2 linked regions of the Saccharomyces cerevisiae S288C genome follow. The protein of the gene in region 1 binds, or shares a complex with, the protein of each later gene. Each region holds a gene or a part of one and is shown on either strand. Other genes may lie near its edges. A codon is read from its position in the direction of its gene.

Region 1 (4,595 bases):
TGGGCGTAACTCAAAATCATTAAGTATCTGTTCAGGTTCCACAAACAAGGAAGAAAAATCCGCTGCACCCGTAGTGGCCAGTTTCCCGCCACTGTCATATACAGCATCTAAAAATGTAATAAATCTTCTCACTTCATCACGAACGTAAATGGACAAATATGGAATATCGGTCACTATAAAGGCTTCAAAATTTTTTGCCAACGTCAAGTAATCTCCTGCGGCCAAAGGCTCACCACACAACTGCTTGAAAGTAAACTGCGCGACTCGAGGTGGGGTACACTTAGGGACTTTGAACTCTCTCCCCCAAATAGTTAATGGATAATCATAAAATGTCTTATGCACCGTGTGTGAATCAGTGGAATCATCGGTGTGGGAAGCCTGTGCGAAATAGTTATACCATTCCTTAATATGAGTTTCTCGACGGGTTTTACATTCCTTTGATGCGTATTTTATGCTCGTATCGGATGGGAAATAGTAAACTGAGGACACAGGTCTTGGAATCTTACGGTAATCTGTTGGCGAATTCAAGAAGATAACCTTAGTTCTATGCTTTATCAGTTCAATACAAGGAATAAATGATTGTCTTTGAACACCGTTGATATACAACTCATCTGGATGTCTATTCGAGGTTGCGAAAAGTACGACACCATAATCATCGGATAGTAAGGCAGTCATCAGCCTTCTCAATATCATTGCATCTGCCACGTCAGTGACTTGAAACTCGTCAAAACAAAGAACATGCGAATTATTTGCAATCTCTGCGGCCAAAAATGGAACCGTATCGATCTCTTTTCCTTTTGCATCACCTAGTTCTTTCAAATTTTGCTCTCTAACAATTTCATGCGACCTTTTGTGAACATATTGCATAAACTGGTGAAAATGTATTCTCTTTTTTGTTAAATGATTGGGAATTGTAGTATAAAAAAGGTCCATCAACATTGTCTTTCCGCAGCCAACATCTCCATATAGGTAAACTCCTCGAGGTATCGAGTTACCAATTTTGGATACATCCACATACGCCCCAATGTTCTTAGGTTTGCCACGGCTAAATACGGATTTAAGACCATTCAACCAACCGCCAACTTGGTCGACAGCATTGGGTGTCTTGACAACCGGAGGTACATATTTAACCAGTGAATCATACAAATCCCCTAAGGAAGAGATGATACCACGCTGATATGTATCATCCCGTAGCTTCCCCAACTTCACCAGTCTGTCGTACTCTTGCAAGGGCGTCAGACACTTATTTGACTTCGTAGATTGATACCGACAAATGCGAAAGCTGCAATGCTGCACTTGTCGGAAGGTTCGAACAGCATTGGGCTTCAAAGCGATCATGATTTTAACCAGCAAATACTATGTTTCACTGCTTTACCTATTTATTCTTTGTTCTTTCGGAGCACCCGCAAATCAGAAGAAAGGAACTTCTCCCTCCCACTTTAAAGTAAATCCGGAGATTCCCGTTATTACCTTACATATCGAAATATGACCCATAAAAGATGTGTAAAATTACGTAAGACAAAGGAACTCGGCACACCTATTGAATAGGTAATAGTGGAATCAGGTGCCTAAATAAATGAATAAGAGTACTGTATTATCTAGTAGTTGTTATATTATCTAACCTTTACATAATACGATTATTTCACATTGTTATGTTTTCGGGTAATAATTATGAGATGGAGTGAAATTTCACGAAGAGATACAAGTAAAATAGCAGCTCTTCAATAGCAAGAAGAGTGGCGCTGAGATTGAAAACAACTGTGCTAGTGTAGAGCAACTTTGATAATAGCTGGTACGTTTCCGAGAATGGAAGTAGACAGTATATTAGGTTCCTTGAGCATAACTGATGATTTTGACCAATTGGTTGACGTCACAAGTCTGTTTGATGAATTGTGTTCAAAACTAAAACCAGAGGCTATCGTGAAAGATCCCAGGTTTGATTTGTTCGAGGGTACACATTCTTTAGAGGTCAACAACTCCAAATTAGACTCCAGTCTGATAGAATTGACAGCAGAAGAAATAGAATTTGATGTGAACGTGGCCTACGATCCACCGTTGGCAAGTGTAGCAGCCATAGCGGATAGATTACTTAGATGTGTTATCTCCTGGCTGAATGACTACCAGACTTTACCCACTACTGTATTAAGCTGCAGGTATACAGAAAGCTTATTATCGTCATTAGTTAAGGGAACAACTGCCGGTTCGTCCTGGTGTACAGGGAATATTTTGTATGATAAAGTACTAGGAAGTTGCATACTTGGCGTTTGTTATTTAACAAAATTTGTGCAGAAACTCTTGAGTGCTGGTATTGTTTTTGAAGAGGAGGATTTAAATTTTAATAACATGGGGTTTAATACATTCGATAATTTGCCGGGGCAAGATGTTGTTATCAATTCTCTCACCGAGAGCCTTCAGATATTAGAGGCATATTCTGATGATAGCTTACATTTAACTATGCTGAAGCATATACTAAAAATTATCATTTGCTTAGTCCACTTAGAAGACCATCTGACAGACTATTCCACAAAGACAAGCCACCTGGATGAGCTAATTGAAAACGCTAACTCGGTTAATGGCATATTTCCACAATTACAGCTGTCTCCACCAAAGGGTGCGTTCTCAACATATATACAAAAGCACAGGTCTAATCAATTCCCTCCCAGGAAGATTACGAAGTTACCGACGGATTACAGCGGCTTTATTACACTGGCAAATGATGTTAAAACAATACTCCTTGTAGATAAAGCCGAGTCTGCGTTGGAGACCTACCAGTTTGCCAAATTCTTCAACAAGTTGGAACAAAGGCATGTCATTGCAAGGATCTTATTCCCCTTATTTTTCATTAGAGACGACAGAACAGTTTTGGGTAAATTTTCATATACCCAATTTTATTTGCTACATGTCAAGGAGTTTTCAGCACAAACTCCATCTGAATTTGAATCCTCTATTGGTAATGAACTTATCCAAGAAAGCTCTAATATGCTTTTAGAATGGTACCAAAACTGCTCCCAAAACACATGTAGATATAGACAAGGTTTTAACAGGCAACTTATTCTATGGGATTCTCTTCAAGCCCAGTTTGAAAGTGTCAATTCACAAGTTTACTGTTCGTGGACATATTTTATGAAACTATCAAGTATGATCGAATTCTCTTTAAAGGGGTTTGATTTGGATATTTACAAACCCTTTGAAGCATACTCTATGTTTTGGTATGTTTATTATTTAAGTCACCACTTAGAAACCTTTTTGAAAGATAGTCAAAATGATATTGAATCAAATATTAATGCCATTCATTCCATGAACAAAAAACTTAAAAAATTGAAAGCTGGTGAAAAGAAGGACCAATTGAGGCTAAAGTACAGGTTTGCTATGGATAATGAAATGGAACAATTACAAGCTACCAAACAATTTTTAAACTATCTTTTGAAGGAAATTAACATTACCAAATCTTTATGTCTAATAGAGGTTTTCCAATTTGCAATTTTAAAGTCATTTGGTTTAATTGACAACAAGAATAGTACTCCGTCAAAATTCTCTAATGAACGGTTAATCCATAATTTGAGATTCAAGCCATTTAATTCAATTGGTGTTCCTGAGTTACCAGAATATGAAGTATTTCAACAAACTTTAAAAGATTTTGTCATTGAAGAAAAAGGAGCTGCATTTGATATAAAGTTAGAAAGGGCCACTAACTTTATCGAAACTGAAGTGCGCAATGTCGTTAGTTCTATTGATGAGATAATGCAAGGAATCAAGGGAGGCGATAATAACGGCGTTCTAGTAACAGGAACAAGACTGGTTCAAGAGCTCTCTCTGGAGTACTATTGTAAACTAAAACATACTTCTAAAGCATTATCAGTCAACTCAAAAGTTATCGTCAACACTTTGAAAAAGAACATTAAAAACAAGGACTCCCACGAATACAAGGTTGAATTAGTTCATACAACAGAAGGATGGAACTATTTCCCCATACAAACATTGAGAATAAAGCAAGACCGCTATAAATAATCTGGAATTTACCCTAACTGTACAAAATATATTTAGCATTATATACCCGCTATTTAATTATTATAAAGGAGACCTTTATACTCAAACAAATGAAGCCACCTTATGCCATTATCCCATTCGTACCAGTCTAAAACAAGATAAATACCCTGTTTAACATCCGAACACCAAATATGTGTGGGTGTCAAACAAAGAGACAATGTAATGAGACAATGTACTGCTTGTAAACTATAACAGTATCAGCTCAATTTCAATGCCATCTACTCCAGATATCGTTGCGATTGTACCTACAAGCCGCCTACAACGGCGTTATTGTTGTAAGCTGGTAAAATGCAGTGCGTTCCCCCGTTGTGAGTTCGGGCCAAACTTACTTGGCTGGGAGTTCCGTCCGTACAGTTGTGGCTTGCTGCCTAGACTTAGGCGGACGCGGCGGCAATTACTCCTGGGCTCTCCCTAGAGCTGGAGAGACACTCTTGGTAACCGAAGGGAAAATCCCGGAAGAAAATTTGGAATCCGTTAACACTGCTGGAAATGGACATCTCCTAATACTGAAAAAATTATTCAAAGTCTAGAATTTTGGTAAATTTCAA
Region 2 (2,584 bases), on another chromosome or scaffold:
GTAAAGCACAGTCGCAATGGTCACCCCAAGAGAACCTAAGAAGAGAACCACTAGAAAGAAGAAGGACCCAAATGCCCCTAAGAGGGCTTTGTCCGCCTACATGTTTTTCGCTAACGAAAACAGAGATATTGTTCGTTCTGAAAATCCAGATATCACATTTGGACAAGTCGGCAAGAAGTTGGGTGAGAAGTGGAAGGCTCTAACGCCAGAGGAAAAGCAGCCTTACGAGGCCAAGGCCCAGGCCGATAAGAAGAGATATGAATCCGAAAAGGAGTTATATAACGCCACTTTGGCTTAGGGATACTTCCTCCCCGCGTTTTTGTCTGTGTGATTTAATTTCTTTTCCTCTTGTTCTTTTTGAAACTTGCTTTATTATCTCTCTCCTTTCTATTCCTCTTTTCTCTACTGCCCTTTTTCTATATCTATACATATGATTAAATAAATAAATAAAAAAATTGTATTATTAATATATATTTTATCATCATCGAGTGTTTTTCCTTTTATGTGGCCAGCCGGCCATGCATTAGGAACGTAGACCGAGTGCAGCTCTTTTCAGTCAACGGCAATATCAGTTTAAAGGCGTCCCCTTCATTCAAGTAGTAGCGGAACATCCGTTTCATTCTGATGAAACCCATTCCTTCATATAAGTTTAGAGCCGCCGAATTTTCCACCTCTGTTTCTAACATGATCTCATCGCAATGTTCCCTTTGCATTTTATCTATGGCAATTTCCACTAGTTTCTTTGCTATGCCATGCCCGCGGTATGTGGACTCTACGGCTAGCATTCCTATATATCCTCTCAGTCTCACGTTTCTATGCGGGTCCATCTTACACACTATGCAACCAATGGGTATGTTAGGCGTTCCACTCTTGTTGTCAACGGCAATGTACGTTAACTCGGGCCATTGGTTCAAGAAATACCTATATACGTATATCGAGTACGGCTCTGATAGATCCGCATCTATTAGTTTTTTAATACTAGCAAACTGCTCTTCGTTACGTATGTCCAATGGCTTGTACACTATTTCCATGTCCTGACCCAACGCCTTTTCTGTAGTAGTGGCTTTTTTATCTTGTAATCTCTTGTGAAACTTTGTTCTTCATGATTATTATTTTTAATAAGGCTTGCCATGGAGAGCCTTTTTATCGCTTTTGGCTACCCGGTTTCTTGGTAGGAATGGAACTATATAATAGCGATGCCCTTATTTGAGTACCATTTTCTCAAATCAGAACCAAAGTAGTCCTCCTTTGAACAACGATTATTTTAGTGTACTGTTGTTGTTCGGAAAGTACTTCTTTTATTTTCTTTTATACATCATGGCAGACGCTGATGAATATAGCACTGCACCTACCCAGCAAGAAATAACACCACTGCAGACAACAGCCACTATCATAAATGCAATATCTGGAGAATGTATAACTACGAATGTTGATTTTTTCGTTTCCCTGGACAAATTTAAACAGTTCATTGCTAGGAAATGGAAGATTCCTCCCGATCAGCTGCTGATTCTACTACCTTATGGTAACAAACTAAAACCGTCGATGTTTAAAGAGCTGCTTATTAATAGGTCTTTTACTCTAAATGATTTTTACGTTTACGACAGACGACTATTCTCACTTGTTAGTAAACCGACACCAACAAATCTTTTAACGTCTAAGGATTCTAATCCCATGAACTCCCCTAATTCCAACGACTTGACAGAGACTCTGGAATATTTAATTAAGAATAGTCATATATCTCAATACCAAGGTAGCGATACTATTATGATCAAGCCTATGCCCTCGCCTTTGGAGGACGCAGACGTAGATCTTTCGCGTTTAAATTACCATTCCGTAACTAGCTTACTGACGACGAACCTTGGTTGGCTAAGCGCTTTAGAAATAGATGTACATTATTTTAAGAGCCTCATACCAGACATAATAGCCCATATTAAGCGTATTTTTGATGGCTTAACCGTTTGCTCACAATATTTGAAGCTGTACTGCTTTGATGTAGAAAGTTTGTATAACTCAAACGTTCAATTTTTAAATCAGCTGGTAGACAATGGTATGACTTCAAAATGGGAAAAATGCTTCAATGACACCTTGAGTAAGTTGACTGCTTTAGAGGGTGATTCTTTACAAAAGTTCATTAATATTGAATCTCTCCTGGAGAACGAAAAATCTGTAAAGATTCTAAATCATTCAATCAATGGTAAGCTGAATAAAATTAAGAGGGAAATTGACGAAAATGCAAGTTTTAGAGATATTATAACAGTAAACATCGATCGACTGCGGCAAATGTTTACCCCGAATGAATCTAAATTCGAGCTTGAAGACCAAATGGCAGAGAGCTTTGAGGTACTGGTATCAGAAATGCGAACAAGAAGCAGAAATGTACTTGATAAAGAAGAAGAAGAATTCAATAGTCAAGAATTTTTGAAAAGCATGAATGTGATGTTGGAAAAGGATAAAAAAGAATCAGTGAAAACTCTCTTCACTATATCACAAGCGCTGTATTCACAAATAGGAGAACTAATAGATTTAAAAAAAAGTCTACAAAAGCATGCAGTAGCCATTTTGGGTAACATAGCATTCACCCAGA

The links. The genes of interacting proteins can lie anywhere in the genome.
Region 2: the proteins of MAK10 (region 1) and MAK3 are in contact, whole or in part, in a crystal structure (PDB 6YGB), measured with the Saccharomyces cerevisiae proteins. Residues at the interface, in NP_010861.3 of Saccharomyces cerevisiae: Pro35 (codon at 1,909), Glu36 (codon at 1,912), Ala37 (codon at 1,915), Ile38 (codon at 1,918), Asp45 (codon at 1,939), Leu46 (codon at 1,942), Phe47 (codon at 1,945), Gly49 (codon at 1,951), Thr50 (codon at 1,954), Ser52 (codon at 1,960), Leu53 (codon at 1,963), Glu54 (codon at 1,966), Lys59 (codon at 1,981), Leu60 (codon at 1,984), Asp104 (codon at 2,116), Tyr105 (codon at 2,119), Gln106 (codon at 2,122), Glu173 (codon at 2,323), Asp174 (codon at 2,326), Pro284 (codon at 2,656), Arg286 (codon at 2,662), Thr289 (codon at 2,671), Gln332 (codon at 2,800), Asn403 (codon at 3,013), Cys405 (codon at 3,019), Gln409 (codon at 3,031), Leu455 (codon at 3,169), Asp456 (codon at 3,172), Ile457 (codon at 3,175), Lys459 (codon at 3,181); in NP_015376.1 of Saccharomyces cerevisiae: Ile10 (codon at 1,004), Arg11 (codon at 1,001), Lys20 (codon at 974), Asp24 (codon at 962), Leu27 (codon at 953), Ser28 (codon at 950), Glu29 (codon at 947), Pro30 (codon at 944), Tyr31 (codon at 941), Ser32 (codon at 938), Ile33 (codon at 935), Tyr34 (codon at 932), Val35 (codon at 929), Arg37 (codon at 923), Tyr38 (codon at 920), Asn41 (codon at 911), Gln42 (codon at 908), Lys98 (codon at 740), Glu101 (codon at 731), Ile104 (codon at 722), Asp105 (codon at 719), Gln108 (codon at 710), Glu131 (codon at 641), Gly132 (codon at 638), Met133 (codon at 635), Gly134 (codon at 632), Ile136 (codon at 626), Arg137 (codon at 623), Met138 (codon at 620), Lys139 (codon at 617).

The regions. Positions count from the first base shown.
Region 1 is NC_001137.3:53,314-57,908, reverse strand, and holds MAK10 (Mak10p), read left to right. Parts: upstream 1-1,806; coding exon 1,807-4,008; downstream 4,009-4,595. Other genes in the region: AFG1 (Afg1p), read right to left, coding at 1-1,338.
Region 2 is NC_001148.4:663,407-665,990, reverse strand, and holds MAK3 (peptide alpha-N-acetyltransferase MAK3), read right to left. Parts: upstream 1,032-2,584; coding exon 501-1,031; downstream 1-500. Other genes in the region: YPR053C (uncharacterized protein), read left to right, coding at 1-203; NHP6A (high-mobility group nucleosome-binding protein), read left to right, coding at 17-298; autophagy protein ATG11, read left to right, coding at 1,318-2,584.